2 linked regions of the Drosophila melanogaster genome follow. The protein of the gene in region 1 interacts with the protein of each later gene in a pairwise test. Each region holds a gene or a part of one and is shown in the gene's direction. Other genes may lie near its edges. The genes, in order: PGRP-LC and pirk.

The links.
Region 2: the proteins of PGRP-LC (region 1) and pirk interact in a two-hybrid assay, tested with the Drosophila melanogaster proteins (one study listed by BioGRID).

The regions. Positions count from the first base shown.
Region 1 is NT_037436.4:9,328,914-9,345,534, forward strand, and holds the start of PGRP-LC (peptidoglycan recognition protein LC), read left to right. Parts: upstream 1-11,524; 5' UTR 11,525-11,676; intron 11,677-13,251; 5' UTR 13,252-13,414; coding exon 13,415-14,216; intron 14,217-15,286; exon of another isoform or gene 15,287-15,410; coding exon of another isoform or gene 15,411-15,699; intron 15,700-15,986; coding exon 15,987-16,211; intron 16,212-16,621. Other genes in the region: PGRP-LA (peptidoglycan recognition protein LA), read left to right, coding at 5,717-6,014, 7,799-8,020, 8,073-8,308, 8,541-8,747, 8,813-8,956. UniProt on the Drosophila melanogaster protein: Major activator of the imd/Relish pathway and is likely to encode a pattern recognition molecule for the humoral immune response. Required for Relish processing and nuclear translocation following proteolytic cleavage.
Region 2 is NT_033778.4:21,660,192-21,675,964, reverse strand, and holds pirk (poor Imd response upon knock-in), read left to right. Parts: upstream 1-12,969; 5' UTR 12,970-13,277; intron 13,278-13,460; 5' UTR 13,461-14,047; coding exon 14,048-14,641; 3' UTR 14,642-14,998; downstream 14,999-15,773. Other genes in the region: CG15676 (uncharacterized protein), read right to left, coding at 3,688-4,236; NC2alpha (negative cofactor 2alpha), read right to left, coding at 4,486-5,469, 5,677-5,718; CG42381 (uncharacterized protein), read left to right, coding at 6,147-6,210, 6,272-6,428, 6,485-6,494; CG42379 (uncharacterized protein), read left to right, coding at 6,494-6,748; CG42380 (uncharacterized protein), read left to right, coding at 6,757-6,954; PIG-M (phosphatidylinositol glycan anchor biosynthesis class M), read left to right, coding at 6,977-8,377; CG42365 (uncharacterized protein), read right to left, coding at 8,467-9,093; CG42363 (uncharacterized protein), read right to left, coding at 10,309-10,773; CG42362 (uncharacterized protein), read right to left, coding at 10,993-11,451.

The DNA.
Region 1 (16,621 bases):
AATAAACATTTAATCCCACAAAAATTTAACTCTATACTATAGCATTTTAAAATTTCAAACAAATATGTTTATATACAATATTTTAAGGATACAATTTGTGGTTCTTAAATATTGATGTATAATTAAAATGTTTCCTTTAATTTCATATTAATTTTTGATTTCAGTAGAATGCAACAATGTATAATTGAAATATTTTTCCTCGTGCATAATATGTTTTTGCTCTGGTCTTGTTGTGGTTTTCATTTTCAATATGCACAAAAAAATTCCGGATGTTCATCAGCCAAATGAGAAGCATGCTGGCCAAGAAGAAGACGCAGAAGGCCAGTGGAGAAGCGGAAAATGCTTTCACTCCGATTCTCGGCCGGGGTCAGGGGTCACGAGTGGCGGCGAGTTGAGTCGAGAAGGTCGCTGCGCTTACAAATTTCAATTTGACTAAAATTGGTTGACACACATTGCAGCAACTGCAGTGCACTCGCTTTTTATTTTCCAGCTACTTTGTATGTGTGTGCGAGTGTGTGCGCACCGCCGAAATATTCATGCAAATGCACTTAAAACATTTTAAAAGCGTTTCTGCGGTTCAATTTGCATAATTCCAGCCACACTCACACTGTAAAAATGCACAACATTTTACCACTAATGGTGCATACAACCATTCACTGTGTGCGTTTGTGTGAGTGAGCCTGCACTCTCGCACACATGTGCATACATTTAATTATCGAAATGGCAATCGCCCCGCCCTCCGCCCCTTACTGCAGACTTGAACTACATTTCAGTGAAATTGACCAGAAGCATACATTAAATTGCACGTGGCCAGTAAGCGGAGAAAGGCGCCTCAGTGTCCCAGTTGCTTGGATTGCGACAAAAGGACACAGGATCCTGATGAAATCGGTCAAATCGTAAACAGTGTTGCCGCAACCCAATTAGGCATAGTACCAAATTTATTAAGCTTAGCTTTGAATGAAAATGAAATTGGAATGCCGATTCGTTTAAAACAAATTAGTAGTTCCTTCATAAGGTAAAATGTACCTTTATCGGAATTCAGATTAATTAATACACCATTTCTGTATAATCATATTAATTTCATAAATAGTTATATTTTATCTTCCATTAAAATAGGATTTCTGCAGTCTAACATAGTTCCAGAATGCTATAAACCACCCCTTATTATGTATGTTAAGATTTAACATTTTAAGGATGGCCATATAATGTGGATCCAATCCTTATGTTTACAGACAAACTTTACATTACTGTTATGTGACCATAAAAACCCCTTTGTGGATGCTAAAATCAGAACAGCGCAACCATAAACAACCCCCTACATGTAGATCCAAAGGTATAACATAACATGGGAACAGAGTGTTAGGATTTTTCATTGCATTAACATTTCTGTTACACTTTCCGCTCCACTTGAACACACAATGTGTTCCCATGTTAATGCAAGTGCTTGTCGCTGTTAAAAAAATAACATTTAAATACTAGAATTTATTTCTGCATATACGTACGTATGTGGCGTCCTTTAAACAGCTCAAAAATCATACAAAATCATTAGACAAAATACGACGCAAGCTAACCAAAGTCACGCACCAAAGTCTGCAAGTACTTGCGATAATTGTGAGAAAAGCTGCGGGAGAAATTTAGACTTCGACACGCAGTGCATTTGGAAAACATTTGCTTAAATGCCGCAAACCAAAACTCAGATAGCAGAAGAATGAAATAGGCACACAGACGCACACTTCATATTGCAACTGGGTTCCGTTTCTGCACGTTTCTGACACACATGCAACCCACTGAGCACCCAACCCACTCCGACCCACTTCAGACCACCCATTTCAGACCGACTGCCACCCACCAACTCGCGCGCTTGAGCTCAATGGTGCACCACAAAACGCGCAGCCAATACGCCCGCGGGTCTATGGTAACTTGGGATCAGAGGGGGTGGTATTGGGATATGGGAATGGGTATCTATGTTGGTACTGCACAAGCAAAAAAAAAACTGTGGCATAAAAGAAAAAACGTTATTCATATCAGAACTAAGATACTTAAGAACTACTAATATATTAATATGTATATATAGTATAGTACATAGTATAAGTATATACTATACATAATTCTAAGAAAATAGAATGTAATAATACAAGGCAACAAATAGTATGTAACTTAATAGTTATATAGTTATATTTTATATTATGTAAAAAGAATTAGATGTTTGACAAGATGATTGACAGCATTTATTTTTTTCGAAGTGCACTTGGTATTGGAATGGATGCCAACTAGCACGCGAGATATTGATGTGCGCAAAATATGCCAAATATCAGTGAGGAGGATGGCCCATACATTATACAATACACACATGTGCACGAGTGTGAGAGCTGCCAAATCAAGCGCAAGCCCAAAAGTAGCAACAAATAAAATTTTATGCGCTGCGCGAAAAGTTTTTTGCTTTTGCATAACGCCCAGCAAATCCAACAATGGCCACAACAGGGAGCATCATTGGGATAGGCAATGGCAATTTACATGTACAATGCAAAAGTTTCGATTTTATTGTGTGGGAGTGATGGGGATTTTCAATTTTTTCTCTTATTTTTCCGGATGGATGGTGGGGTGTTTTTGAATGGGTTGGGTTTTCTGGTTGAGATGTCTGATTCTGTTTGTTTTTACTCTGACAGCCATAGGAGATCGAAAACGCATATACTCCAATACTCCACATTCAACGTTCCACGATAAACACAAAGGGCAGAAATATCGAGCGATTGCCGCTGCCGGCGGTTGCCAAAAAGTCAAAAATAGTTTCGAAACGCCATTTGTTGTACTTATTTTGGGGAATGCCAGTTAAGTGGAGTGACTTCATTTGCCATAACACACTCGAACAAAACCTGAATGTACTTTTCGATATCAGTTTTAAATGTTTAAAGGGGCTTTTTGTGGAAGCATTTTCTAAGAAGAATCAGTTTAAGGGCATATTATATGAAATATGTTTTCTAAGTCCTATATACAGCATATTGAATTTGATGTACGATACATTACATCTTTTCTTTACAAAACTGCTAAGTCATCCGATTTTCTATTTGTCGAATGATATAAAGAGATTGAACTCAGCTTTTTTGGAAGCCAGATAAATTGTTAGCAATTTCAAGCATGAAACGCATCGCATTCTACTTATGCACATCTACTCAAGCCGAGATGGATGCACATAGATACTATATGGCACTCTAATGTAGTTTATAACCACAATTTAACATGGCCAGCTACCGCAGATGCGGTGCATTGCCTTGGCTATATCTAATTTGCATACTGTCTGGGTCGATTATATTACTGATGCTGATGGATTCCGGACGCATACTAATCAATTGGATTGTTGAGTGTTCATAAACCGAAAGCCAATCAGTTCAGCATTAAGATCAGCCATGTTGGGGATTCTACAATTAAGGGAAAACAATGATATGATGATAAGATATTTGATAAATGTATCTGAAATCTTTAACTCGTATCTTTCTTAAGTTTGCAGAATCGGCTCTGATGAAGCTGTGGCAAGGGCCTCCAAACGTATTAGCGCACCCATGACAGTTTAAATTTCCACAGAGCCATTTTTTGTGCTGCGCTTTTCGTTGCATATTTCAGGGCGCCGCTGCCCATTGCTCTTGTTGGCCAGGAAACACAGCGAACTGCCAAATGGCTTGCGCAAAGCGGAAGAAAAACTAAAACAAATGTCAGTCGTAGTTGACGCGTTGCCACCGACCACCAGCCACCAGCCACTAGCCACCGGAGCGGTTCCAGAGCCTCCCTCCCCCCGTCATCAGCCCCTTGATCCCTGCCAGCGAAATGCAAATGTCATTTGCAGTTGACACTTGACTCAGCACTTCGCACTGTCCTAGGGCACTTTGGGGTTTTCACCTGCGTCTTTGCGCCCGGTTTGCCGCTTTACCCCAAACCCAGCCCACTTCACTTCACTCCACCCTTAACCATTTACTGCGTTTGGTGGCACAATGGCTGCTAGACTCACACACCCGCGCAGACAGCTGGGTGAATAAAAGAAAGTAAAATAAAACAAAAGTTGGGGACTAGCTCGAAAAAAAATAAAATGGGGGCAAGCTGGGGGAATAGGGTGTATGGCAAAGGGGTGCGAGGGGTGTCGACTAATGCCAACTGAACATGAATAAAGTCGTGGCCCCTTGGGAAGCTGCTACCGCTGCCATGTCGTCGTTATTCTCGTGGTCGTCATTAGGAGGGCAGACGTCAAAGTATGCGCTTTGTTTTTGCTGCGTGCCATGCAGCGTGTTAATAGCCAGGCACCGGGCTCCAAGCCACAGCGAGAAAATCCCCCCCACCCTGACCGGAAATTTGAATTAATATAGCATTCATAAGATAAAATCCCAAAAAGTCTTAGATTCCTAGATGTCAATGGGTTGCGAAGGGTATAGAAAACAAATGGTTTATAATAATTAAATAAATTATAAATATAGATCACATTTTAAGGTAAGCTAATTCTATGCCAAATTCTCTCAGTGTATTACCGTGAGGCATGAAACCGCTTGCCGCCCGAAAGCCAAAAAGACCAAGTTGACATAGTCTGGTGGATGGGTGAGATGGATCGTGATGAGGGGCCGTGGCGGTTCACATGGACCAAGAGCCATGGCAAAGTCAAGTGCTGCAGTTGCCGTCGTGTGGCGAAAGTGAAGCTTGCACAGCGTGCAGCGAGTGGCTGACATCTCGTGTGGCTGTTGGTTGAGCGTTGAGCACATTAAATTGATGCGCTTGATAAGGATTACAAAGAAAAAGTGGCTTAAAAAGAACACGTATTTAAAAAAATTGCACGAAAATTAAACGTTTTGTACAGCAAGCCAAACTAATTTAAAACATATTTCCACTTTTAGATTATATTTATTAAAACATTTTAACATTGAATGTTTTTTTTATATTCGAATATATTGAGGTTCAACGGTGCGTATGCGTAATTAAGACGCCACCTGTTCGGCTAGTCATTGAACTTGAAAAAAGCTTTGAGGGCTCTTACTTATGCTAACATCCCCAAGAGGGCGACACTTGGAGTTCAGTTTAAAATATAAAATAAATGCTTTATATTGCTCAAATTTTCCCATTAGAACATAACTATTAATAATTTAATTTATTTTCCAGATTAGCTTTGAGTACTATTCCACTAAATTCAGACACTTTATGCAAATGACTGCCAGTCATAGGCCTGCAATTAAATTGTAAAAAATGCAAGATAAACTTTAAAAATTTCCCAGCTGAAATGATTTTCATGCCATGACAATATAAAAAAAACCGGAGAGTGAGTGCTAATGGAATCGCAATCACTATAGTGCCGAGTTAGCGAGCCAAGAGAGAGGATTCGATATTTTGTTTACTTTTCAGTTTCATCCCCACCGGCTGAAATGCAACTTTGAGCAGTTGTCGTTCGACTGGCGCGCCAGCTACGTACTCCGGAAAGAGTCACGGATTTTCTGAGATTTGATCATCTGAGATCGTCATATTCAAGCAACCCTTTTTAAAACATAAACAAGGTAAGGTTTTTGCCCTTTTCATATGGCCTTTTAAGGAGCAAATAAAAGTTATTATCTGCAATTACGTTGATACATTCTTAAAACAAATAAAAACCAGGAGATAAGTGGCTTTATAAATAACTAATTTTATGAAAAACCCGTAATATAACGACACATAACATATGATGTTTTCAGCAATCCAAAACGAATCGGCAATGTTCGAGGAAAACAATAGCCCCACAACCGATAATTCGCTGTGGACACTTCAGGGTCGTCAAAGAGCGAGTCCCGCCCAAAGGTTGCACAATCTCACGTCCGCCGGCTCATCGACCTCATCCTCCGGCCTTCCGTTACCGCAGAATATCTTCACAAATCCAGCTATCCAGCCGTCCAGCGTTATAAATCTCAACCACTCCACCGACGTGGTAATCGGTCCCATGACCCAATACCAGGGACCGGTATCCATATACTATATGGATTATATGGAGGCACACGCCATGCAAACGGCTGCAGGTGAGTCCCCGATCCTGAATGGAAAATTATAGTTGTAAACGGGAAAATTAAAGCAACAATTAATTAATAAAATTAACATATTTCTACTGTATAACAATATAACAATAATATACGAGAATAATTATATTTTTTTTGCAAATACTATTCACTTTTTTCCCAATGTTTTTAAATATTAAGCTAAATAGTGCAGGGTGCTGAACTTTACCCAAATAAAAAGGTATTTTTTTTTGGTAAATTTAAATTATTTTAACATAATATATTTATTTTCGAAACCGGTTGTTTTAAATTTATTATGTTCAGTTGCCAGATCGTGGTTAATTTCGATTTGGGTATATCAGCAAGTTTTGATTCAGATCACGAATCAAACTAATTACTAATAAAGTGTTTTATTACGATTTCACTTGACAAATTCAACTATACGACAATTGCATGTTCTGAAGATCTTGTTCAAAATGTTAGCACTTGCAATTAGTCAGCTTAAATGAAAAGAAAAATTAAATATGTATAATTCATTATGGATAATTAGTTCCACAACTCGATCGATCACTATTCTTTGGCTATGGGTTCAATAATTTAGCGAAAAGAACAGAGCAAATGAGTGAAAAACCAATGTAATTGAAATGCAAATAGCGTGGGGCGGGATTCCCGGAATAAACGTACACATAAAAAGTCGGGATCTCGAGCAACAAGAGAGCACTCAACGCTCAGTTGCACTCGGTGGTGGTGAGAGCTAGTTTGTGGATCAAACTTTAGCCACTTGCGATGCACGGCGCATATTGCGCATACGTCACGTAGTACGGAAGAGCGAAAGGGAGAGAGAAATACGAGAAGTAAGAGTGCAAAGCGTGAGTGTGTAAAAAATGTGATATGCCAAAACAGCAACAAAAGGCCGGCGATATCATCATGACGCACCCTTGCCGCCCCCTCAAAACCCCACTTCCAACCACTTCCACCCCCCCCCCCCTCGTCAACTCAACCCCTGGCCTTTCTTCACGCAAGCAAACACAAAACATGTCAACGCAAGGGTAGAGCGAGATGGCTGACTTCCAGCGCTTTTGCAATTTGTATGGCTGTTGTTTCTCTTTCTGTTCCATCGACAGCTGCGCCGCATTTCAGTTGTTTGTGCGACGGGTTCAGGTGCGGTGGCGGTACCAGTGGCACTCCGCCGTCCGATTATCGGTCAAACCCATTGTACCACATTATAAAACAATCAATTTGCAGACCACCGCTGTTCCCAGTATTTGCTATGATATTTGTTACCGATGACTCAGTGGTCAATTACTCATAATAGATATATAGGCTTATAATGCCGTGTTTTGTGTCCAATAACGAAGAGGTGTGATAAGCTTAGTGGATCGAAGTGCCATGAAACTGTTACTAAAAGTTCACTCGGAACGCACGGCGCGCAGAAGACGTACACCCGAACCCAGTTTAGCCCACTCCCGGGATTCATCAAGTACATACATAAAATCTAATATCTACTAATAAATTAGATTTACTCAGCGCTTTCACAGGCTTAACTAGATCCGTGTTTTCCGACACCGAAAAAAATATTTAGAGGCCTGAAAGATAATTGAGCTTAAAAACGTTTTAAAATTATTTAAATTTTCTAGATTATGATTTTAAGTTTCCGACTTGTTTGTTGTTATAGAAATATAAATGCTTTTGATATGCAAAACCGTAAAATGTTTCAAAAACATTTTAAGTCAATATATCCATTGAAACGATACAATTTCTTGGCTTTTGTGAATCATATGCTAATTGATTGACTTTCGCTAATTAAGGAATCAACAGCAACAATGCCAATGGTAATGGCAACGCCAATCGAAGTCGTGATAAGTCGCCATCTAGGCGGGTCACTCGGAACACCATCCTGCTGATCACGCTGATCCTGTTGGTCCTGGCCACCGGATTGATTGTGCTCTACGTGGAACTCAATCGACCCAAGCCCGAGTTGCCCAGTAATAAAGCCATCTATTTTGGCAACAACTACGACCACCAAACGTGTAAGTGGATGGCACTTGTATAATCCATATAGCCAATTCACCAATTCTACAGTTCCGAATCTAGGAAACGGCCATCTCGTCGTCGACAGAGAGCAGTGGGGAGCGTCGAAGAACTCTCATGGTCTGACCATTCCCCTGAAGCGACCCATTCCCTACGTCCTAATCACCCACATTGGAGTGCAGTCTCTGCCCTGCGATAACATCTACAAGTGCTCCATCAAGATGCGCACCATTCAGGATTCAGCCATTGCTGAGAAGGGTCTGCCGGATATCCAATCCAATTTTTATGTAAGCCTGTTCTTGTTCTGCACTCTTTTACGCGCCTCAATGGGAAACATAGTTCCTAAAATAAGCCTTGTATAATACTTTTTAAGCCTTAAAAATCAAAATTTCTTCGAGTGTAGTAGGGAAAAGAAATCCCGGCGCGTGCATTTGTGTTCCCATCACGTTCACGTGCCATTTTGGGCATTTCGCTTTCCGCTTACGCAAATTGTCAAATTTCCGAATTTGTTTCGACCAGGTTTCGGAGGAGGGTAACATCTACGTTGGCCGCGGCTGGGACTGGGCCAACACGTATGCGAACCAGACATTGGCCATTACCTTTATGGGCGACTATGGCCGGTTTAAGCCCGGTCCCAAACAGCTGGAAGGTGTCCAATTTCTGCTGGCCCATGCAGTGGCCAATCGAAATATTGATGTGGACTACAAACTAGTGGCGCAAAATCAGGTATAATTACTTACTATATATCTGGCATATCTGGTGACATAATAATTTAATTGAATATTTTCCAGACTAAGGTGACCAGAAGCCCGGGTGCATATGTGTATCAAGAAATCCGGAACTGGCCGCATTTCTACGGCTGCGGAATGGACGAAGCACCGGCCTGCGGCATCGAATTGGGCATGAAAACGGAATCGTGGGACGCCAAGCAATAGCTACAGACTTTTCTACCACCTAAGTGTAACCAAGCACAAACTGTATTTTAATACATATACTAAGGCGAATGGAGCTTTCTTTTAATCGGTTATGCTGGCTTCGAAACCAAAGTAAACCGGTTGGGAGCAAGCGGTTTATTTATAGTAATATATATATATATAGTGTCTCTCTTCCTCTCTGGAGCTCTGTTTAGTTTTACTGTCGCTCAAAAAGCTGGAAATTCCCAAGCCGCAGTCAACCTCTATCAGTGCCAATACCAGTACCCCTTTTATTCCCTCATAGACTTTAACACTCATCGATCTTGTGTGTGTCTGTGTGTGTGTGTAAATATATGAGAGCCTTTGTGCGCCAGTACAACATCATTATCGGTAGCTTCACTTCACTTCACTTATATAGACGATGTTGTGATCGCTGTGGCTGCCTTTGTCATTTATCTGCCTTTCAACGTGAATATATGTACAATGATAATAATGATGTTTTATTTTTGTTATCATATGGAGTCATTACAATCCTATTTACAGGAAGACTGGTAATAGCAGAGAAATATATTAAAAATGAAATGGATATTTGCCAATAAGATCTGCTATCATCACCGACCTTCAGTTCAAAGCCCTCAACAGAGAAGTACGTTCGATGATTTATATTGGTAAAAAAAAAAAGAAACTCCTTCGAAATGTTTATGTTTTTAACTTGCGCATCAAATGATGAGCTGAAACTATGACGACATGGAAAGCTAATAAACTAGTGGGTGTGCCTTTTAACCCTCTTTTCATCAATGACCTAAAGTCCAACCTGCCCAAAAGAGTGACGTACATACATTCATTGACTAATTAATCTCACGGCGCCTTAAAAAAAAAATTATACCTACAACGCGGAACGAATTTTTGGCCAAAACAATGACGAGAGTACGGCACGTGTAAAAACCAAAAAGAAGAAGAAAAAAACACATATGCGAAGAGGGAACCAAAAAAGTAAAAATAATTAATAATAATTAAGGTAAGAAAATATGTGGAGGTAGGTATATTAAAATAGCTATGGTGATTGATTTCGCAACCGTTGTAAAGAAATTATTATCTGCTTCATTGGAAATGATTTACAATAATTACTGGCATTTTTCGCAATAAAATAATGGGTCAACAAAGAATAGATTGCCTGGCTACAAAAGGCATAAATCATTAGATGTTTCGGTGTAGAACTTTAACTGCAATAAAATAATACATTTTAAAGGCCACTCAACAAGCTTATCAGTAAGTCAGGAACACTGAGAGAAAAAATATTATAAATAGTCTACAACTATTTCGATTAAAGCTCGTTGCGCTTTCCACTTATAATTATATTTTTATTTTTCTTTTCTGTAAGCGTGTTCGGAATTCGTTTCGCCAATTTGTTGCTCTTTACGTTTTATCCATCAACAGTTTCCCGGCGCCCTTTTCAGACTATCAGAGATCGCCGAACCGCCGTTCGCCTATAATTACATTAAATATTTTTCAACACAAGTACAATGGGTCAAGCTGGAATTGGAAGAGAAAAAAAAGAGCTATGTACACATGTACATATGTATACATATATATATATATAACTGGCCTGTACCACAAAGTGAAATAGCCAAAAACCGATTGCGGGCCGCAAAACAAAACAATTCTCGGAAATGGTAGCGCAATTTAAAATGTTCACATTTTTGCCCACACTGCAATGTCTGTAAGTGTTTTGGTAGACGGGAGAGAGCCGGAGATTTGTGTTGTTTATTGGTTGAATAAATAAAAAATATATATATTTATATACATACATATGTACATATATAATACGTATACGCCGATTTGTCTGTGTCGATGTCGGTGCGGACGACTAAACAACTAAACAAAAACAAACAGTCATCGTCAGGTGGGAGAAGTTGGAGAGACCATTCTCGAGCCACGGGGCGTAGCTGGAGGTATCGTTATAAATTTGACTAATATCTGGAAGATTTATAAAAAAAAACCCGAAATCGAGAACAGGTTCCGCGACTTAATGACGCTCGGAAAAACCGAAATATGCAGCTCGCCAGATGCAGTTATCGGAATTCTTTCGGTTTCTTGGGATCACTCGCTTTTCGTTTAAACCAGTTTCGATTGAGAAAAAGTTGTACCGCTATCATAAGTTATTAAAATGTACAGTTTTTTTTAAGGAAAATTTAAATCATTGCATTTTATTGGTTAACGCTAGATTACAAAAAGGATAGAAAATACAACAGAACGCGTTCATATTATGTAATATGTAAACACTATATGTTAAAAAATTATATTTTCTAAAACGATTTAGAAGTTTTTTGGAACAAGGCTTTTGAGTTGCACTCTTAAGATCTTTTGAGAAATCACTTATTAAAATGCAAATCGGTAACAAGTTGGACTGCCTGAAAATCGGACTCAAATTAAACAACTTTGGTTAAATAAACGCAAAAACGCCGACCGCTCTCTCCCCATCATTCTCTTTGTTTTTTTTTTCTCAGCGATCTGCTCTCCCTCACACACGCTCCCCACACGCTGCCATATCAGACGCTCCAGCTTTTCAGGCCGCTGCGATTTGATCGCCGCTCAGTTGATCAGAGTCACTCGAACGCGCCGCTGCTCAACGATTCGAAATTGGCGCGAAACGGTATAAAAAGTTCGACTTACAAATTGGCTATATAGTATAGACGCTCAAATATCAAACGAGCTGCAACGGTTTTCGTCGGCAATTTAAAGTGCGTAACGATATGCAAAGTGTTAATATAGAATAGAATATAGAGTGATTATATAGAATATTACACACCGCAAAATAATCATAATCCTATTATATGACTAGTGACAAATAATTGAGCAATTATATCGATATTTAAGTGCAAACTAGTTTGTTTCTCCAATCGTTTTATGTTCCAGGAATGTTAATTAGCCTTTCGAAACACGAAAGGAAGTGAAAGAAATTCGTGGAAGTGAAAAAGAAAACATGCTATCGAAACATCGATCGAAAATCAATTAATTTGCACATAGGCCATATTTAATGATAATTTTGAAAACACGTAAAACATCAGAGTTGTTAATTATTATCGATTCTCCAAACAGAATACAACCAAAACAAAGAGCACCCATATTGTGATGATCTGTGCGTGTATTAGTGACAATGGCCGCCGCTCCCGTGCACGTGTATTGGTGCGCTCGGTAAACTCAAAATGCCATTCCGTTTCTCATTTGTAGCCGTTGTCGTTATTCGGTGTATTCCATTTGGTGTTATCTCAAAAGCGTGCTCTGTGCCAACTCTCTAGAACATCGATTCTAAAGTATAAAGTCGCTACCCTCCAAGGCACCCTTTCAATTCTATCGAGTTTATCACAATTCGCGGAATTCTTTAAAATAGAGTTACTGTTTTGAAATTGGCACACCTCTTCGGAAACCTTCGTATCTACGTATCATCAAGACGTCACGGCATATGCCCATAATGATCTTTCAGCCTTTTGAAGACGTCACTCGTGGCTTTCGAATATCCAAAATTAAGCATAACATGCATATGTATGGGTAACAACTACTACTTTTGTGTTTCTCGGAATCCACTTAAGTAAATAGACTACGTCAATGATTATAGCTAATTTGCATAAGCCTTGCATTCGTGCGAGCTTACTGACCAACTATTTGAATCGAATTTGACGAGTATACAATATAAGTCAACTGTATACATACACATATATTCCAGCACTATTCAATACCCTTATATCTTAATTATACAAACTTCACTGCCATACAACAGCAGCAACGTTTTTTATTCGCGTTTTAAAAACTCTGTTGGCAATCGAGCTTATCAACAATCGTGTATACATGAACTAAAAGCGTTGATTGTACTTATAAATCATATTGCAACTGAACGATCTAATGGATTGTGATAACAATAAAATCACTTTTATAAAGCATGTGTAATTGAAAAGTATTAAAGAACTGACGAAATATTTTTCTAAATTGTGTGTGTTATCCAAACCGTTTAATAATGCTCAAAGCTATCAAATAAATATCACTTAGCTTATCGCATAATATAATATCAGCAATACATTGTTAAAATATATACATATATTTATCAATGTTCTAAAAACACTTGCACACAAGGGAATTATGTGGTTTTATCAAAAATAAAAAAATCAGTGCACCATAAAGCCAAAGTGCCTCCCCAAAGTTAAGCCCACTTTAGCCCAATTCAAACAAAAAATTTCTTCGAAATTTGACAACGTTTGACTAGCTTATTATCATCAAGTTAACCGGGACCAACAAAAAAAAAAACGTATACTTATTTGCAGATGCTCATGATGTGATGTTTGCCGAGAGCTGTGCCTAGTCAGCCGTTTTGCCATACGAAAAATAATGTACCGCCCAATCTGCTAAATAGGAAGGCTAACACATAACGCTCAGAGATCCAGAGAAAATATCAATCTGGTTACGTGACTGTCACGATAGTTCGACATGCCTTTTAGCAATGAAACGGAAATGAGCCAATGTTCCAATGCGAAACGTAGAGTAAACGATCCGTTGACTGGACCAAAAAACTGCAGTACTTCGTCCACAGACTCGGGCGTTATACTAAACGATAATGTGGCGGCATTCCGGCCGGAGAAGGAGACCAAAGATCGGGGGACGGGCGAAGGGCAGTTCCAATCGAAATCGGAAGAGAAAACGGAATCCAAGCGTATCAGCGTTGAGCACACTGTCAATATAACAACGGAAAATGTTGGAAAGACATCTTCGCCGGCGGTTTCCATACGGAGTACCACAATTTCCGTTGTGTCCATCGATGATAATGCCATCGACTCGAGTAGTATTGATAGTGATTCGGAGGCCGAAGCGGAGGATTATACGGTCCAGAAGCTGGGTCACCAGGTCACCTACCCGCCCAACAGTTCACACCTGCGCGACCTTAACCAGGGTCTAACGGTGATCAGTCGCCATGTGGCGCCAGGTGAGGCGGCAGTACCACCACCCAATCCCCTGGAAGCTGGCATTGTGGCCAAGCAAATACTGAACGGTAATCTGGCCGTGGCCACGCCCACATCGCCGGCGGGCGGTGCCACGCAGGGTATTGGCAGCATCGCCCTGACCAACTCCACAGATGTGACGTTCGGTGATAAGCATTTCTACGAGGGACCCGTGACGATACAACAGTTTCTCATCGATAATCGGGACAAGTGGAAACCGGGCGAGGGACCAGCTGGTGGACAGGATAACCCCGCATTCAATGGTGGTCCCAGCACGAATGGAAGTGCGCCGGGTAAGACATTCTAAGCTAATTTAATAGATTGTATTTTAAAATCTAAATCTGATATCGTTTAGTTTTTGTACACTATACTAAGAATGGAATCTTAAAAGTTGTAACTTTCGATTGCTTTCGCATCTTTCTGCATAGTTATTCTTGAGGATCGTTAGTTCGATAATTTCAACTTTTTAGTTTTCTATTCTAAAATATATATTTTCTGGGATATATATCCTTAAAACATATATATATTATTTTGCTATTTCCTGCTGCCTTTGTTTGCGTTTCATTTCTGTCTTCACCTTGCCGCGGTTCTGTTTGCTTTAATGGGCCAAAACTGAGCGCGTGTGACTATTTGTTTACTCAACCCAATTGGCCAGGTCTAACGACCGTGCTGCGAATGGTAGATTAGCAGATGGCCCACAAAGCAGACAGATTCATTGTATGCGCCTAGAACAAATACTACATGTTACTATAAAAACATATTAAATGCATTTAATTGCGCAAGGCAACAAAACTCATTATGGAAAATTTTGTTAAAATGCCAAATAATTTTATTACGTATAGAAAATATTTTAGCTTGAAAATTAAAAAATATTTATGAAAATCACGAACCCAAAATTTGTCTCACATAAAATAAAATTCATGAGAGAAAAAGTTTTAACGCCAATAGTGTCGGGGGATTTTTTAATATTAATACATTTTTTATTACTTATAGAACTCGTTTTTTATCTCCCTGTTTTCCGATTACAATCTCAGCACAAAAAAAAAACAAGTAAAATTTCATTCACGAAAAGAAAATGTATCTCTGCCGATTCAAGGCCCCGCAGCTCGTAAATCAAATCGGTGAAAACTTGCGATAATTACGCACAAAAAAAAACCATAGCAACTGCAATTGTTTACTTGATTGATTTTCACAATTACCATAATTAAATCGCCGTTCTGGTTGGCGAAAGTCTCCAATTGGAATTGAACCAGGGGTTCGAGTGTAAATTTAGTCAGCTGTAGTTAAGTGTTGTTTTTATAAAGGCAGGTGCTTCCCCTGGATCACGCAATAAATACTCATATAAAGCGGGGGGGTTTTTTGCGTGCGGCTTAAATACTTGCTAAATGAAAAAGTGAAAAACAAGAACAGTTCCTGCATACTATGTGCGCGGATCGGGAAAAGTACCCAACGATCGGTTTCAGTTGTTCATATAAAGCGATCGGAGAATGTCGAGGAACACGCTTGAAATTTGCCTAAAGTGTCACGGGATAATCGTAGATAATGACAGGCGTATCGAGTGTGATAATGTTTATTGTGGTCGGTCCTGTCATCGCAAATGCACGGAATTGTCCGAGGATCAGTTGAAATTGCTGGAAATGGTGCCCAATTTAAGGTGGAAATGTGACAACTGTCTGAATGGGGTGCAAATTGGAGCACAAATGAGCAAGTGGTTGGAAAAGTCACTGCGGGAACATGAAAAACGATTGGAAATCCTAGAACAGGGGCTAGTGAAGCGTAAGAAGAAATACTGAATATATAGCAAGCTAATCTTTGATTTTATAGGCTAAATAGAAAACTGAATAATTTATATAATCCTTCGTAAATCAAAATTTCTTTCTTTAAATTAACGAATATATTAAACTTTAACAAAGGTGGTTCCACTGTTTCCAAATAAAATTAAGTCTTTTATCTTTCATAAACAATAGAATTTATTATTAAGCCGTTAGAAATCTTTGCCTTATTCATTATTTAAGTTTTCCTTAACATTTTTTAAACAGCTTTCACTTACCCACACTTTTCAGGCTCCAAACACGAAGATCCGGCGCAAACCCCACCAATTTGTCCTTTTCTGCCCAACACTGTCGGACGCAAGGCCGTCACAGTTACAGTGGTTTTTGTAACTTTAACCTTCCTGCTGGGTATCGTACTGGCCACCACCACAAATCTCTTCGGAAAGACGTTGAACCAAAGTAAGATCAGAGATGACGACGATTACAGACAAAATATTCCAATCAATTCAACAATAGGTACAGTTTTGTTTCCCGCTAAGTGTGCAAAAGTGCTTCCTTACTAAACGAAAACCGAATTGGCGATCATGCTCTAACATATATCATCTCACCATCCCAACCAGCATGTGTATAATCCATCTTAATCTCATACTGTATATACATATGTAACTCATAAGAAACATTGTGTAGTCGTTATTGGGTACATAATCCATTATTCTGATCGCGTTTCTTATCACTTGTCAGTGTTGTGAAGTGACCTATAAATCAAAAGTGTGGCCTAAAGTTCAATTGAATGGAATATGCCAGTGAATCGACCTCGTGCGTCACCCATAAGTTCACAAAACAATAGTAGTGTGAGTTTTAAATAATAAAAATAATAAAATAATAAAACTCGTACACCCTTAAATGTCTTGATGCAAATGTTAAGA
Region 2 (15,773 bases), on another chromosome or scaffold:
TTGAGTAAAGTAATTTAAATTCATCAGCAATTAAAAAAAAGTAATTAGGTACAACTGCCCGGATACGTCCGCTTCCATCACTGGTTGTGGCAAAAATAGTAGAGTAATTATTACTGCACGGCTTTATTTTCTAATGCCATTTCACTCCACATTCAACTATAAATAGCTGCGTGCGAGGCGCTGATAAAGCCGCCCCGAAACCAAACCGATTTGAAATCGGAATCGTTATGGTATGCCATGCACCTGCTGCTATATGCGAATCCGAGTCGGACTCCCAACTCCCAAACGCTTGTCTTGGCGCTAACGAGAGCATAACTTGATGAGGAGGCCTCAAAGGCTTGAATGGGGGGAATGGGGATGGGGATTTGCTTTTGGGCGGATGGCTTCGGCTTGGCTGGCTGCACCGGCGTTGCATGTTGCAAATTGCCGCATTAGTGACTGCACTTGAAGTCGAACGACCCGGCAGATGTGGAAGCCAGCGGGCTGAGACTATCCTATCACCAGAAGAAGGCGATGGTTTAATTGGAGCTGTGCGGCTGGGTACGCAGATATTTTAGCGAAATGACGTAGCCCATGAAGGTTTTGGGGGGGAAGGTGGAGGAAAGGTGTGAATGAATGGCCTTTGTTCGCATTGATTTTCCTCTGCCTAATATTTAACCTACATTTTATGGCCCGCCGCTCGAATTTCGGTGACACACTTTGGGCCAAAAGGAAGTGACTTGGCCGGCTCCTTTTCGTTCCTTTCGTTTTGTTTTGGCCATGACGCGTTTTGGGGGAGTTGGCCGGCTCCCAGGCGGCTTAAGCTTCCTATTTGCGAATTGGTTTTTTAATCGCTTGCCGCATTACACGCAGTTTTCTTGCATCTCATTAACGCTCGGTCACACTTGAATAACGAATTTTAATACCTGCCACGTCCACACTGACTGTGTTAGTTTGGTCCTGGAGCGCATTATATAATTTACATTTGGGTTTTAAGTTTAGTCTAATTCGGAAATAGAATGTATTTGCTGAAAAGCCGCAACAAATAATGGAAACGCGACGAAACGTGGCCGCTGCCTAACTTAAACTGATGGCCGACCAGCGGTAAGTGAGCAAAATGGAGGCCTTCAAGAGAAATATTGCCTACACTTCAAATCCAAAACAGCACACAATGCCCCCCCCCCCCACACACACACACACTCGGTGCCCCAACAGTTTGCACACGCAGACCCGCTGAGATATCGAGACTGGCGAACTGAAAAGCCGAAAAGAAAAGGCGACCGGGGGCGCCAATTCGCCGCGACTTTTCCGCGAGTTTTCCGCATTTCGCCGCCTAGCGAGGCGGCTGCATTAGCCGTTTGCATGTCGTTGTGTTCATCTGTGCGGCGTGTGCTTCTTTCTCAGCTCTTTCTGCCTCTTAGACAACTTTTGATTGCTTCCCCCAGTTTCCCCCGGCTGGCTGTGACACCTGTTGGTATGTCTGTGGCACGCGATGTTCCAACACTTTTGTACTTCTACGCCGCACTGCCTGCCACCGAGAAGCTCAGTCAGCTAATTTTTCATACTTTTCGGGATGCCTCATAACTTTAATGCCACTTGTATCTATTGAATGCACGCATGTATTTCAATGAACACTTTCGCTCATTTCACTTTAATGCAGTTTTATGGAGTTGGAGATTGCACATAAGAGCTCTGATTGAACGTAATGATAGGTATTAATAAAAACTTTCCTTTACTGTGTTCAAAAAAATCAGTTTAAAATACGCCTATTGATTTAGTATTGAAAGTAAATATATCCTTATTTTAAGTGTTTGAATATTTTATCCGCTAGAATGTCAAAAAATAGTTATGCGTCGCCCAAAAATTAGGATCACTTAATCACTGTGTGAAAGGTGTCTCTGCCCATAAATATTGCAAAAGGCTTCGGCAGAAGGACGCTTTTCCTGCACTCGACTGAGTGAGTATAAGACCCTCGGCGAGTACACTGCACTTTCCTTGGCTTTGGAATAGGGTCAAAACCGCAACAAATTCCGCGTTGCCTTGTGCAGCGGCTAGGAGTCAACAACACTTGGCCCGCAGCTACGAACTCCTTGGCCAGCCGGGCACTGTTGCAACATCAAGACAACAACGGCAGTGGCAGCAATAACGCCTAAAGACAGGTATGTGTGCAAACACAGACCACCCAAACCAAAGCCACGAATCCCTCGGAACGGGGGGACTTTTAAGTGGCAGTGCCGGAGAAATCCTTGGCTAATGTCGTGTTAGCCCCCAAAAACCCGCCCCTTGTGGGGTCCAACTCGAACCCCCAGTGGAGTCACACGGAGTCACAAGTCGGGGAATTCCTAGAGACATCTACGAGTTAATTGTTTTGGGCTTTTTCACTACACAACCGAGTTGGAAGTTTTTAATGTTTGCGATATATCCGACGATTTCTATCCGATTTTAGGCAGTTTGGTTTTAATTTTTAATGCACCGTTACTTGTAGAGTTATTGTCATAAAAAAAAAGGTGAGAGATTTTCAAATAAAAAACTGAATACCCAAAAAATTCAACGCGCATTTGCATCGATCCGATGCACTGCACTCGCCGTTCGTAGAAAAACTAATCCGCCGTGGGCAAATACCTTCTTATACATCGTCCTGCGCCGTGGAGCTCCACGGCAACTGACCAGTCGGGTTTAGGTGAAGAAACCACCGAAGAAAGCCGAAGTCCACGTTTGGCCAGCCACACGGGTATACGTGGGTCAGTAAACCTACTTCCGGTTGACATAAATACGCCTTGGACATGAAAACTTGGCACTGGCGGCGCGCCGCAAGTTGTTTTTATTGTTTCTAACCTCTTTTTTTTTTGCGCCATGACTCAAGACAGGTGGACAGCGTGGAGTCCACGAGTGCAGGTGTGCAGATGCAGATCTGATTCCCCCAATTGAAGGGGCTTCGATTAGCCGAGCCCAAACTCTTTGGCGGATTCACTTGATCTGGTTGAGAGAGCGCAGCAATCTAATCTCGACTTTGGGCTTGGCTAATCAAAATTCGGGAATAGTGCTGACCCTAATCTAGTGTGCCAAGCCCATGGATGAAAATTCATATAATTCAAAACTGCACCTTTGCTCACTGGGAGCGGTTGGGTAATTTTATTCGCTTGCAATAAGATTTTCCCACGCGATATGTGGCTCATCTGCTGGTCAGTTTTGTCCTTTTGCCATATAATTTGGTATCCTTGGAAGGGAATGGAGTCTACATCATGGGTTGACCCACATCGGGCACAAATTAATATCAATTGTGGCTGGCAGATTGCGTGTGCGAATATGCGGAGGGCTGGAGTAACAGCTGGACGAAGGCATGGGCATGGGATTGAAAGGCATTCAATTGTAATTGGCTGTGACCGAGGATTACACAATGACTAAGCGGTGCTCCCTGGCGAAATTAAGTCATAATTATTATGATGTGTATAGGCTTGTAAATAGCCGAGCTCGGTAATAAAGGTCACATTTTGTAGGGCACAGTCTGGGATCCTACGGTCCCGATACTCTGACCTCTTTACCGGGCTGCTAATAATGTAATTGTAATGAATGAATTAGTGGGGAACTCCAAGGGAGAGCTGTACTTCGTTGGAAATTAAGGCATTTAGACAATAAAGACTTATTTAGAACGAATGTCTTTATAAGCAACTACAAGGTACTAGCAATTTTAAGGATGGTGGGATGCTTCTAGTTCTCCACTTCATGTTTATACAATACGGCTAGGTTCATCTCAATCGTGTTCACCTGATCCTGCAGATAGTCGATATCGTGCTCATGTTGCAATTGCTGCTTCACCAGGCTGGTGATGTCCTTTTTGATGAACTCCTCCGCCTCGGACAGCTCGAATTCCATTTGCAGAGATGCGCCCACTTGAAGGGTAACCTTTTGCACTGGCGGTATGCTCACCCATCTGAATACTCCCTGTGCGATTTGCACGAGGCTGTGAACTTCCTTGTCAGGATTGTCTATGAACCTCCTCACCAATTCCAAATTATTTTTGGCAGCCTCCAAACGGGTTAACACTGCTGTGAGGTCAGTCTCCAACTTGGCAGCCAGTTCGCTGTATTGCACATAGAAAAGGCGTTGCATCTTCAATGCCGCTGGAACAGTCGAATAGAACTCTGGCTTGGCGATGTAGCTGACGACATCGTCAACTAACTTGGCCTCTGGGATGGGCATAAATGACTTTCGGCCGCCCAGAGGCGGCTTTTTTATGGTGTCTATGAATGCAAACATTTTCAATAATTGTTGAACTTGTTTAGTACATCTAATTCAAAGATAAACTGATTTAATATCGTATGCAAATTAAACAGCATTATCTGCTAGAATGTATAAATTTTCTTTCTCTATTTAAAGTACTCCGCATTGCGTCAGCTTAAAATCCAGCATGGTCTTTATTTTGCAAAAAATGTTATTGTGATTTCTTAGACCTAGAGTACATATTAATGTATCAATAATTTAAAAGCGCATTCACATAGATCCTAATCAAATATTGTCATAGTCTTCGTCTAATTCGAAAACGGTTTCAGTGGGGGTCGCTGATGCCGCTGTGGCCTTTGGAATGATGGGAGCGCTGCTCTTTCCAGCCATTTGGTTCACATTATTGTTGTCCCCCGGCGTGGCCGCTGGTAATCCAATAGAGGCGGGGGGCACACCACTGCCAGGTGCTCCACCGGCCACGATATTCGTCAGATCGATATTGATCACCGGAGCAGCTATGTCGAAGTTAAAAGCTCCAGATCCGGCGCCCGATCCTGACCCAGAATCAGAGGCGTCCGGTGTGCACAGGTTCGCCGTCGGCATTTGCACGTGGCTGTAGTCGATCTTGACAATGGGCTTGTTGAGTTCGTAGTTGCAGATCGGGGCGGGTATGGCAGTATCGAGCTGCACCGACTGTTTCTTGAGGTGATTGGGCGGTCTGCCCCGTGGCGTGTAGGCCGGCATGGACCCGGAGCGGGCCAGCTTGGCGGGCAGGGTGGTGCTGGTGGTGGGAGTTTCCTGGGTGGAGTGCTGCGACTGAAACTGCCGCTTGGTGGCTGCGGCTCCTCCGCCCGATCCGGCTCCGTTGTTCAGACTCATGGAGCGCATGTAGGCAGCTGTGCCGTTCGCCTGCGAGCGCATTGACGTCGATGGCAGGCTAAGATCATATGGCGTGTCTGAATCTGGATACTGTTCCTCTGGCGAGCTGCGTAACACATCGTCCTCGTTGTAGGCGGCCTCCTCGGCCACACTGATGTCGGGTATGTTGCGGACCAGCTCCTTGAGGAAGTCAAAGCGTTTCTCGGATACGATACACTGCCTCATGTGCGATGGCGATAGCGTCTTGGCGTTGCGCGCATTCGTGATGCGCAGCGTCTTGGTCAGCAGCGACTCCACGAAGAGCTCCAGCGTGCGTGAGATGATAACAGGCACCGCCTGGGCCACCTTCCCGATTTCCTCGTCGCTTTGCATGATCTTCTTGATGCGACCCTGCAAGGAGTTTATGGTAATGGTTTGGAAACATTATAATCTCGCACCGGTTTGGTTTCTCCTCTACTTCTTTTGAGCCTCTGATTATGCGAGGCGTGTATGTACATATGTATGTACACATGCACGAAAACTGATAACCCATCTTCGGCGTTCACGGCCGCCAAATGGCTGGAGCTTTCCTGTCGCCAATCGGTGGTTTCAACTTACCGCCGGAAAGCGTGCGTTGTATTTTTTCTTTTTCGATGGCATTTTCCGATTTGTGAAGTAATCGTCAAGAGTCCTAGTGAAATAAAACAAATGTGTGTGTGTTTTTCACACAAGAACAGTTCCTTGGTGCCCAACTGTCGGCGTCGATGGGTGAATGGCAGTTGCTCTCGCAGCAGGCGGGGTATTCACAGGGAAGCAAAAGGTATTAATATCAAAATTTGAAAGATTAAAAATTTTTGTACATTATAAGAGATGTTATTTCTTTTTGTTGTTATTTATGTGATTGTTTTTTATTTTGCTTTGATGTATTAGGTTTCCTACACAGCTGACCGTCGCGCAGTCTGGCTACCTTGATCGTGCACTGTGAATGACTACAACCGCCAAGAAGAAGAAGAGTGCAGAACACTTCCAAGTACTTTTCACATATTGCAAGAGCGATTTAATATCGTAAGAATTCTGGGCAGGATTACATGTCTGACACTCGCAAGGATCCCTGCAAACCGAACGCCTGCCGCATACAAGCCTGTCTGACCAGTAAGCACCGCCGGTGACTCCATTTTCATGGTTATGTAAGCTGACTTGCACTCGGTTACAGAGAATCACTACCAGGAGGACAAGTGCTTGGATGTCCTTGAGGCAATGCGCCAGTGCTGTTTAAAGTGGCACAAGGAATCGCTTTGCTGCAGTGGAATCGATTTGGAGAAGACTTATCTACCAGACGCATCCAAGGAAAAGAACGCAACCGGCAAGTCGTGAGTTGTAGCCAACTTCTCTATTCCATATACACTATTATCAACTCGTTTTGCAGGAACAAATAATGTCCATACCGCAGTATAGGCCTCCGAAGGAAATTCAAGACTTGCTGGACCAAAAGGAGCAACAGCAAGCAAATCAGCGCAGGCGAACCGCTGTGCTACCCAAACGCACGTGGATTCAGCGAAATCCACGCCTGTTCCAGATCTCCTTCATCACAGGCTCACTTCTGATCTTCTTCTCCAAGCCCCTGTTTGACTGCTTTATCGCCGATCCCCTACCACCGCCGGAGAACAAAGTTCCGCCTCACAAGCGCTAAGCTAAGGCATGGAATCGGTGCGCAAAGCCAACCAAAGAATCCGCAACTATCCAGTTCTGCTAAGCAAGTGCGCGGACAAAGCCACTGCGTATGCGGTTTGCGTGTCGCGTGATCTAAACGTGCAGCACAAAATCTGCGACACCGAGTTCAAGGAGTTCCTAAGCTGTATCCGCAAGACCGCTTTGGAAATGAAGACCAAGCTTTAGACAAACGTAAACAATAAACACGATGACTCAAACAAAGGCTGCGACCACTGGATGGCAGCGACTGGGTCGCCGCATCCTTTACACTAGCTTTCGGACCCATCTACTAATATCCGCCCTGCTGCGAATAGCTTTAATTTGCTACGGACAATTACACGACAGTCAGTCCGCCGTGCCCTACACCGATATAGACTACAAGGTGGTGACTGATGGAGCCCGTCAAGTTCTGGCTGGGGACACACCCTTCGCCAGGCATACTTACCGATATAGCCCAATCATGGCATATCTGCAGACTTTTAACATCCTGCTTCATCCGGCGTGGGGTAAACTACTGTATGCGACATTCGATCTTCTCATCGCCACACTTATTTACCGTCTGGTGCACATGGAAATCAAGAGTCAGTACCAGAAGACCGTACAACACCTGCTTAGCAAGTTCAACAGGCCACGGGACTCGGACCAATCGCTGGATGCCCTGGATGAGCGAAGTCATCCAGAGAACTTGGCCCGCGCCTCTGCTTGCTTTTGGTTATACAACCCGCTGACGGCTGTAATATCCACACGTGGAAGCGGCGATTGCTTCTCAAGCTTCTTCGTGATACTAACTATATACCTGCTGTTAAAATCTGAGCACAATGTCACCAGGAGTTACTGGCTTATATTCGGAGCGGGCTTGGCTCACGGTCTAGTGATACACCTCCGTCTGTATCCGTTGCTATTCAGTTTGGCATACTATTTATCGCTATCAACGCGGCTGACACAAACTCCCCTCGACTTCCTGTGCCAAATCCTGCGGCCCAACAAGCAACAACTGTGCCTGATAAGTGGAACATTGATCAGCCTAGTGGCCTTCACTTGGACCTTCTACACAATGTACGGTTGGGAATATATATATGAAGCGTACCTGTACCACTTCGTACGCAAGGACCCGCGACACAACTTCTCGCTGCAGTTCCTTCTACAGTACCTGGGCAGTGCGTCGAGTGTGGCGGAACCTTCTGCGATCCTGAAGACTCTAGTGCTGGCTCCGCAGTTCCTGCTCATCCTCTACTTAAGCTTGAGCTTCGGTCAGTTCCGCCAGACGCTGCCATTCTGCATCTTTGCCGTGGCCTTTGTCATCGTCACCTATAACTCGGTGGTAACCTCTCAGTACTTCATTTGGTACTTGGCCATTCTGCCGCTCTGTTTGAACAACTTCAAGATGCTGTCGTGGAGAAGGTGCTTCGGTCTCCTGTTCCTCTGGCTGCTTGCCCAGGCGCTGTGGTTGCTGCCGGCCTATTTGCTGGAGTTCCACACATGGAACACCTTCTACTGGATTGGACTGCAAGGAGCCGTATTCTTCGCCACCAACGGATACATTTTGGAGCAGCTGTTGAGTCATTACGGGTTCACACAATTTAAGATAAGCTACAGAAAGTTACTGTAATCAAACAATCCGCAAAGCAGAGATTTAATATAAAAAATAAACACAAGATATCACAATTCGTACTGGCACTTAAAATCGAATGTAGTTAGTTAGCACTTCGTTGAGCTCAGAAACTTAATGTAATTAAATAGTCTTTCGTGCTCCTCGATACGCAAAGCGTAAACTCGATTAGATATACCCCAGACATCACTGCGTCCGACCATGTCAGTCTCGAAAACGTTGCCCAGCTTGTTCCACTGTACATCTGTGAACTTCTTTTGAACCCGACGGTACAGTGCTCGTGCACAGACTGTTTCCACGGATATATTATTGGTGTATATGAATTCCTTGCGATTCTCGTACAACTTCCTGGTGTGCGCGTAGTCGCTTCCCAGCTCCTTTTCAGTCGTGATGAACATGTGATAGACGCGCTTTCGACTCTCCGGCTTCTCGAGGCACAGGAAGCAAAGGTACTGTGTGCCGTCGGCTGGATTAAACTTCGGTGGAGCTGCAGGCGGAGCATTGGTCTTCAGTAGAATCCTGCTTAATATCGCTGGAAATGTGTGCGGATTCACTTTGGGTGCTTCCAAGACAGCCGGCGGCTTCTTTTTGCCCCTAATACGGGGTGTATTCCATTCTGACTTGACCCTTCCGGATATATTGAGCACAGGTGCCGCTGATGAATCACTTTTGTTTGCAGATACAGGTGCAGTACGTTCTTGAGCTTCAGATTCCATGGTTATAATTTTTAGAATTTTGTAATGTGTCCCTTTTAATGTTTATGCTAATACTGAGTTGTGTTGGTCAGAGGCCACTAGTTAAATAGATGGATTGTTTTGTAAAGATTCGAAATACTCAGCTATTTCACAACATAAAAGTTCACAAGCAAAGCACAATATTAGTGGTGAGCTTGATAATGAAAGTGTTCCAGAGAATGGCAACCATATGTTTATTGATTAGGGTGGACCTGCTGATGCAGGTCACAAATTTTTAAATCGAATAATACCATTTAAAGTAAAAGGGATATGAAAACAAATATCAATTTATTCATTCGTTGCGCTTAGGAACTTAGTATAGTTAAATAGCTTTGCCCTCTCTGCGTTTTCCAGCGCATACAACTTGTTCCAAAGGTTCAAATTGTCCTTTAGTCCAATCTTTTTCATCTCAAAAACATTTCGCTGCTTATTCCACTTAACATCTGTTAACTTATTCTGAACTCTGTGGTACAAGGATCGTGCACAAAGGGTGTACAGTGTTAGCTGGTCCACGACTACGATGTCCTTTCTTTTCTCGTAGGTTTTTCGCACTTTCAGATAGTCCTTTTCAATATCCATTTCATTTGTGACGAACATGTGATACACTCGCTTTCCCAACGATGGTTTCTCCATGCACAAGAAGCACAGATTCTGCTCAAAGTCGGTTAGATTCACTTTTATTACGGGTTCCGGCGGACAATTAGATCTCAATAGTATTCTACCCATTATAATAGGAAATGATTTTGGGCTTTTTACTGGTAGATCAGAAACCGATAGAATTTTATTTTCAAGACAGGAAACGCTTTGGCTTGACTCCACTTTTCCGGAAATATTAGGCACACGTGTTTGACAAGTTTTAGAAGTACTCGAACTTTTTTCTTGAACTTCCTTTTCTATTAGTATTAGTACACTCTATTAGTATTTTACAAAAAATTCGAACTTTCTTTCTCAAAATCTATGCGGTTACTGAAACTCAAATGAATTGATAGTTGGATTGTTGAAATATGACAAGCTTAGCATTAGTCACCTTTATTTTTTATATGTATCTGGTAAAAAATAACAAATATTTTGAAATTATGGTGAAATTGAGTCAGTTATTTTCTTCAAATGGCAGATAGTTATTCGACCTCACTTAAAGCTAATTACAATATGTTATATGAAACTTTAAATCTATAAGTTATATATTACATGTTTATTTTACTTGTTGGGATCATTTTGTCTCAGATAACATAGATATTGGTAGATATCATTGCACTCTTCCTGCAAGCATTCGGATACGATACCCTGTATGTGGCGCATTGAATTCTTTTTATATTGAATTACATTTTCGTTAACCCAGTGTTCTTTGGCAATCTTCTTTTTCACGCGGAAGACCATGTCTTTGGGCAGAAATGAGCATCCACTGATGATGACTCCAATTTTGTATCCGTCAGGAACGAACTCATAGTACTGCTTGCCATTTCTCGTTATCTCAGTGGCTGCAAATCTTCCGATGGACTTTTCATCCAGATCCTTGGGTTTTTCGCCATTGAGCAGTAATTTTCGCATGTGGTTCTCAAACTCGAACTCAAAATATGCCTTAGGGTTGCTTGTTTTCTGTACCTTGTAATATAGTTCCTCGGTTTCATTTCCAATACTTAAAACGTTTGTTGTTGACGTCATTTTTGAATCTAAAAGATACTTCGTAAGTGGAATATCCTAGCATGAAACTCTTTCAGCTCACCTGCTTTAGTATTAATAATGCCCGTTTGTGTTGTTTTATTTATTTACTAATGAAATCATTTCGGGTACAAGTTTCCTCAAAGCTCTAAATTAGTGATGGGTTGATTTTGTTTATAAACAATGGGAACAACGGTGAATGGCAAACAAACCACCTCCTCTTCACCTCCTCTTAGTGTTTTCATTTAGATAACACAAATATGAGTAAATATCTGATCTTTCTTGATCCAAAGCGTTGGAAACAGTTTTGATTATGAAGTTCCTCGAATCCTTCGGATACTTAGCAACGTTTTTGGATATCCAGTGCTCCTTGCCAATCACATTCTTTAATCGTCCCAGAATACCCTTGGAGTCAAAAGTGGGTCCGCTTATCATCCAGCCATTTATCTTATCAGCCGGACCGAACTCGTAGTAGTATCCGTTCTTCTTGATTTCTTTCGCCGCAAATCTTTCGACGGATCCTTCATCACAAACATTTGTCAAAGGCTTGCCGCCATTCAGTAAAATTTTCTGTAAGTGCTTCTCAAAATCAGACACAGAATACTCATTGCGTGTTTTTGTGCTTTCGAAATCTCCAGTGCTCTCAGTGCCAATAGTCAAAACATTCGAGTTGTTATTCATAATTGTTTATATTCCTACTACCGATTGGCGTTGGTGTTGTACACTAAAGTATGATTTCGTTATGGGAGCGCTTTTTATTTGCTTACTTATGAAATAAGCACCAATAAAAGCTCACGTCAATAGAGATGGGTTCTTTTTGTTTATAACAAACTGTGAATGGTTAGTAACATATGTTAGGGTGGTTCTTAAGAGTGTACTTAAAATCTAAATATATCTACTTCATTTAATTTCTTTTAAATAACGACTACATTAATTAATATAATGTCGCTTGACTCTGTTTCTATGTCCCTAAAAATTTGACTTCAAATTTTAGATGTTAAATAGATCACAAATTTTCACATTTACCTATTTGCTATTTTATATATTTACTTTACGAACTATTAGAGATGACATGATTTTGTTTATAAACGTTGTTTGTTTAAAAATCGGTGTGAATGGCAACGATTTCATTTTGGAGTGGACCTACCATTACAATACTAATTTAATCAATTAGCTGATTATACATTTCTAAATTTATACATTTTATAAACAATTTAAATAAAAAATAATTTAGATTTTTAACTGCATTGGCTATTTAAAATATTTGACATTAATAATAAATGCATTATCTTGTTATCTGACACATATGCAATATTAATGCTTTTAACACCCCATCAAAAGTATTAAAGTATCTGTCAGAACAAGTACATAACGTTCACTTATTTCGATCCAGAACATGAAACACAACAAAGCAACGCCTCGATCTTAATGAAAGATAAAACATCTGGCATCGGTGATTTTTTGGTCGGTGGGGCTTTAGTACCGGTATTAGACGCGTGCTAGATAGTGGCTGCAGGTGGTAACAGTTTTGATGGGTTATGGGTTGTGATCGAGGGGGTTTTTTCCTGGGCTCGCACAATTTCTCCATTTGTGTGCGCTGTAACTGCGCCGTGTCATATCTGATAATACACACGATTTGCCGTTATAACGCCTTCACACCGAACAAGGCTTCATACGATTATAGCTTTTCTTGAACTTTTGCTTTTGCTTGGCGAGCACACTTGAGATAGCTGCAAAAAAAGTCCCCGTTTACTGGCCCAAAACAGCGATCTGGCAAATAAATCATTTTATAATTTTCCGCAATAGATAATTGATTTGTCAACAGTGAATGCACCTTGAAAATAATAAAAAACGACCTTCTCGGCAATACACCCCTTTCATTTGTAGCCCCATAGCTGCGGTGCTTTCCCCGCACGAGTAAACATTATTGGGCCAACTGTTTAGATGCTAGCGTGTTTATTCAGCTGGCGATCTAGATACATATGTATGCTTGACTTGGCCGGGCTTTGCTCAGCTCCAGGCTTCCCAACCGACTGAGCTGGTCACTTGAACTGGCAACTCAGCTTGGAACGATCGCAGAAAATGACAAGATCGAGAATCGGAAGCTTTCGGGATATATATATAAGTAAACATATGTAAATTAAATCGAATGCCAATGAAGTCGATTGTGCAAATTACGGGTGAGATTTTTTTGTTTGTAAACAAACAGGCTCGTGAAGCATCTAGAGGAAATCATTGCCTCCGTTTCACAGATCTCACTTGGCAACTGCGTAAATATTTATCAATTTCTAGTGCTTAAAACTTTATCATCGGTTATCGTCGGTTATTACCCCTTTAGGTTGGGGTTGGTGGGTTTTTGACTCCGCGTTTACGACTCCCAAAAATGGAAATCAGCAACTATATCAGTGGACTTATTAATGATAAGAGAAGTTAACAAAAATCCCCATCAAAGTTGGGTCTGTACTGCATAAGTTGATAACAGTCTACACAGCGAAAAGTTACAATGCGTAAGTAAATAAATTCCACTTTGATGGGTCAAGACCCGAATAACACCCATTACTATTAGGGATAAGACTATAAGCACATCATTTTAGGAGAAACTATAAAACGATAAGATACAGTAATAATGTTTGAATTTACTGGTGCTGTTAACTAAATATATATTTAAACTTTATTACTATATGCTGAAGATTTGGCTAGCTCAAGTCGATGGACGAGCCCATTGCGAGGGCACCAACAGGTGGACATTACTCATGCCGAATAAATTCGGCGACCCAATCAAAGGTCTCCCCAGATGGCGAGATGCCTTTAAGTTCGCGACTCTCATGCATACGAGGTGATTTTCGTGCCGGCCCTCGGGCGAAATAAAAAAGCCCCGGCGCTAGACTCTCCGGCGGATATAAAAGCGGTTCCCGAGCGGCATTAGCGTTCAATAGCCAAAGTGCCAGCGAGCGAGCGAGCAGTAAGCACGGCGAAAGCGATACCAGAGATCGCCAAACTCAACGCACAATAAAAGTTCAGAAAACAGAGGGAGTTCCCCTGGCGGAAGCAGACGATCCCCCAGCGCTGAATTGAATACAAAAACAACACACACAATTGGATATCTTTGACCTTAGCCATCCGGATTGCTCATCATTCGGAGTCTTCCCCCAGCGACAGAGACGGAGATAGAGATAGGAAAAAGAGTTGGAGAATGAGCTAACCGACAGACTGGACGGTGATTTTTACGAGTGATTAGCAGCGGAAAGAAACGATACCGGCGGTAATTCACACCAAAATGGGCGTTCGTGTGATAGAAACCGATTCGGCGAGCGATTCGTATGACGATGACGAGTGCTCCACTTGCCAGAAAGAGCACGAGCAGGGTAAATCCCCCAATAAGAGCAAGAAAAGTTCCACGCCGCCGGAGACAACCATCTACGCCAGCAAGGATCTGGTGGGCAACTGCAAGGAGTACCGCATTGAGAACAACACGCGCGATCTCAGGATCATCGGCAATGGCAACCGCATACGGATTGTGAACAACTCCGGGCAACTGCAAGTAATCGGCAATAGCACCAGACTCAAGATCCAGAACAATAGCGGAGCCCTCAAGTACACGGGTAACGACGGAAGGATCTACCTGGGCAGCAGCTCCACGCAGCAGGTGGTCGACTACACGGGCTGCAATGGACTGCTCAAGGTGGTCAAGTCCCTGGATCTTAGCGGCGATGCCAAGAAAAGGCCCAGCTCTCGATCGAAAAACGCCAAGCCAACGCCAACGGATGCTGGCCAAGGCAAGTCCGGCGGCATTGAGATCGACAGCAATCTAACGATACGGCACGGAGCCGGGAACATTGTGATCAAGAATGCCATCAACGTGAGCATCTGAGAATCTTGAGCTCTCTAAGTCATCTTTGGCCAAAGATTAAGGATTAATGTAACGAAACTCTTGCCACCGAACGCAAAGGTTCCTATTGACTGCAAAATAGTCACTTAGTCTTAATGTGTCTTTCGACTGCTACCAATATTAACATCACCCTGCACATTCAGCAATGTCAAGTATTAAACGCCACGTCGCTAGTCTAAAAATCCATTACTATTCACAAAACACACCCACTGATTAGGGAAATATATGTATTGTATGTATATGTTTAGTCGTAACGCAGAAGCGCAGTGTGAACAAAGCCTAAACTTCATTCCGAGAATGAATAATCTGATTAAAAAATACAACTATATGTCTAAATATATATGTTTGCTGCGTTTTTCTTTGCATTTCTTGCTAAAAGAACAAAAAGTCCCCCAAAGACAACGTAACTTGCGTTTTCTTCGGAGCTTGGTAAACTACACAGATAAGTGCTTTCCTCAGCATAATGCGTACGCGACTATCTGCGGTCAAGTCGTACCATTGACAACTTCTAAGAACCACCAATTAATCACCACCATCGAGATGCTGATGCAATGGACACTGACCCATTTTCATTGTTACCGGAAAAAGCACCCGACGCTAGCCGATACAGGTACTGATTAATTAAATATATTTTGCTTTTCTATAGGTGCCGAATATCAATTCCCGGGGATTTTTTTTTTCGAGTTGACAGTTGGCATTGGTATACAAAGCAACAATTCATTACCGAAATACGAGTGCCACCTTTGCACTCACACTCACTGTTTACTCGAATGGCCGGAAAGAATTTCGAGAGATGCAAACTCAGGGTGCAATCAACCTCATTAATCTGTGGGAAACTCGAAAAGATACAGAGTGCAATTAAGATTGAGATAATTTCTTACTTTTGATTGGGATTAATTAATTAAGAAAATTGTTATCAACAACAATTTGAAGGTCGCTAATTAAAGCACACTATTCGAACGGCAAAATTATACATATTTATATAAGACAATAATAGATTTATATATAATGGTATATTTTCATTTCTTATAATTTATTTATATATAATATAAAATTCTTCAATAGAAAGGCAAGCAGGAGCACAAAGATATTTTTTTTTTAACCATCACATGTT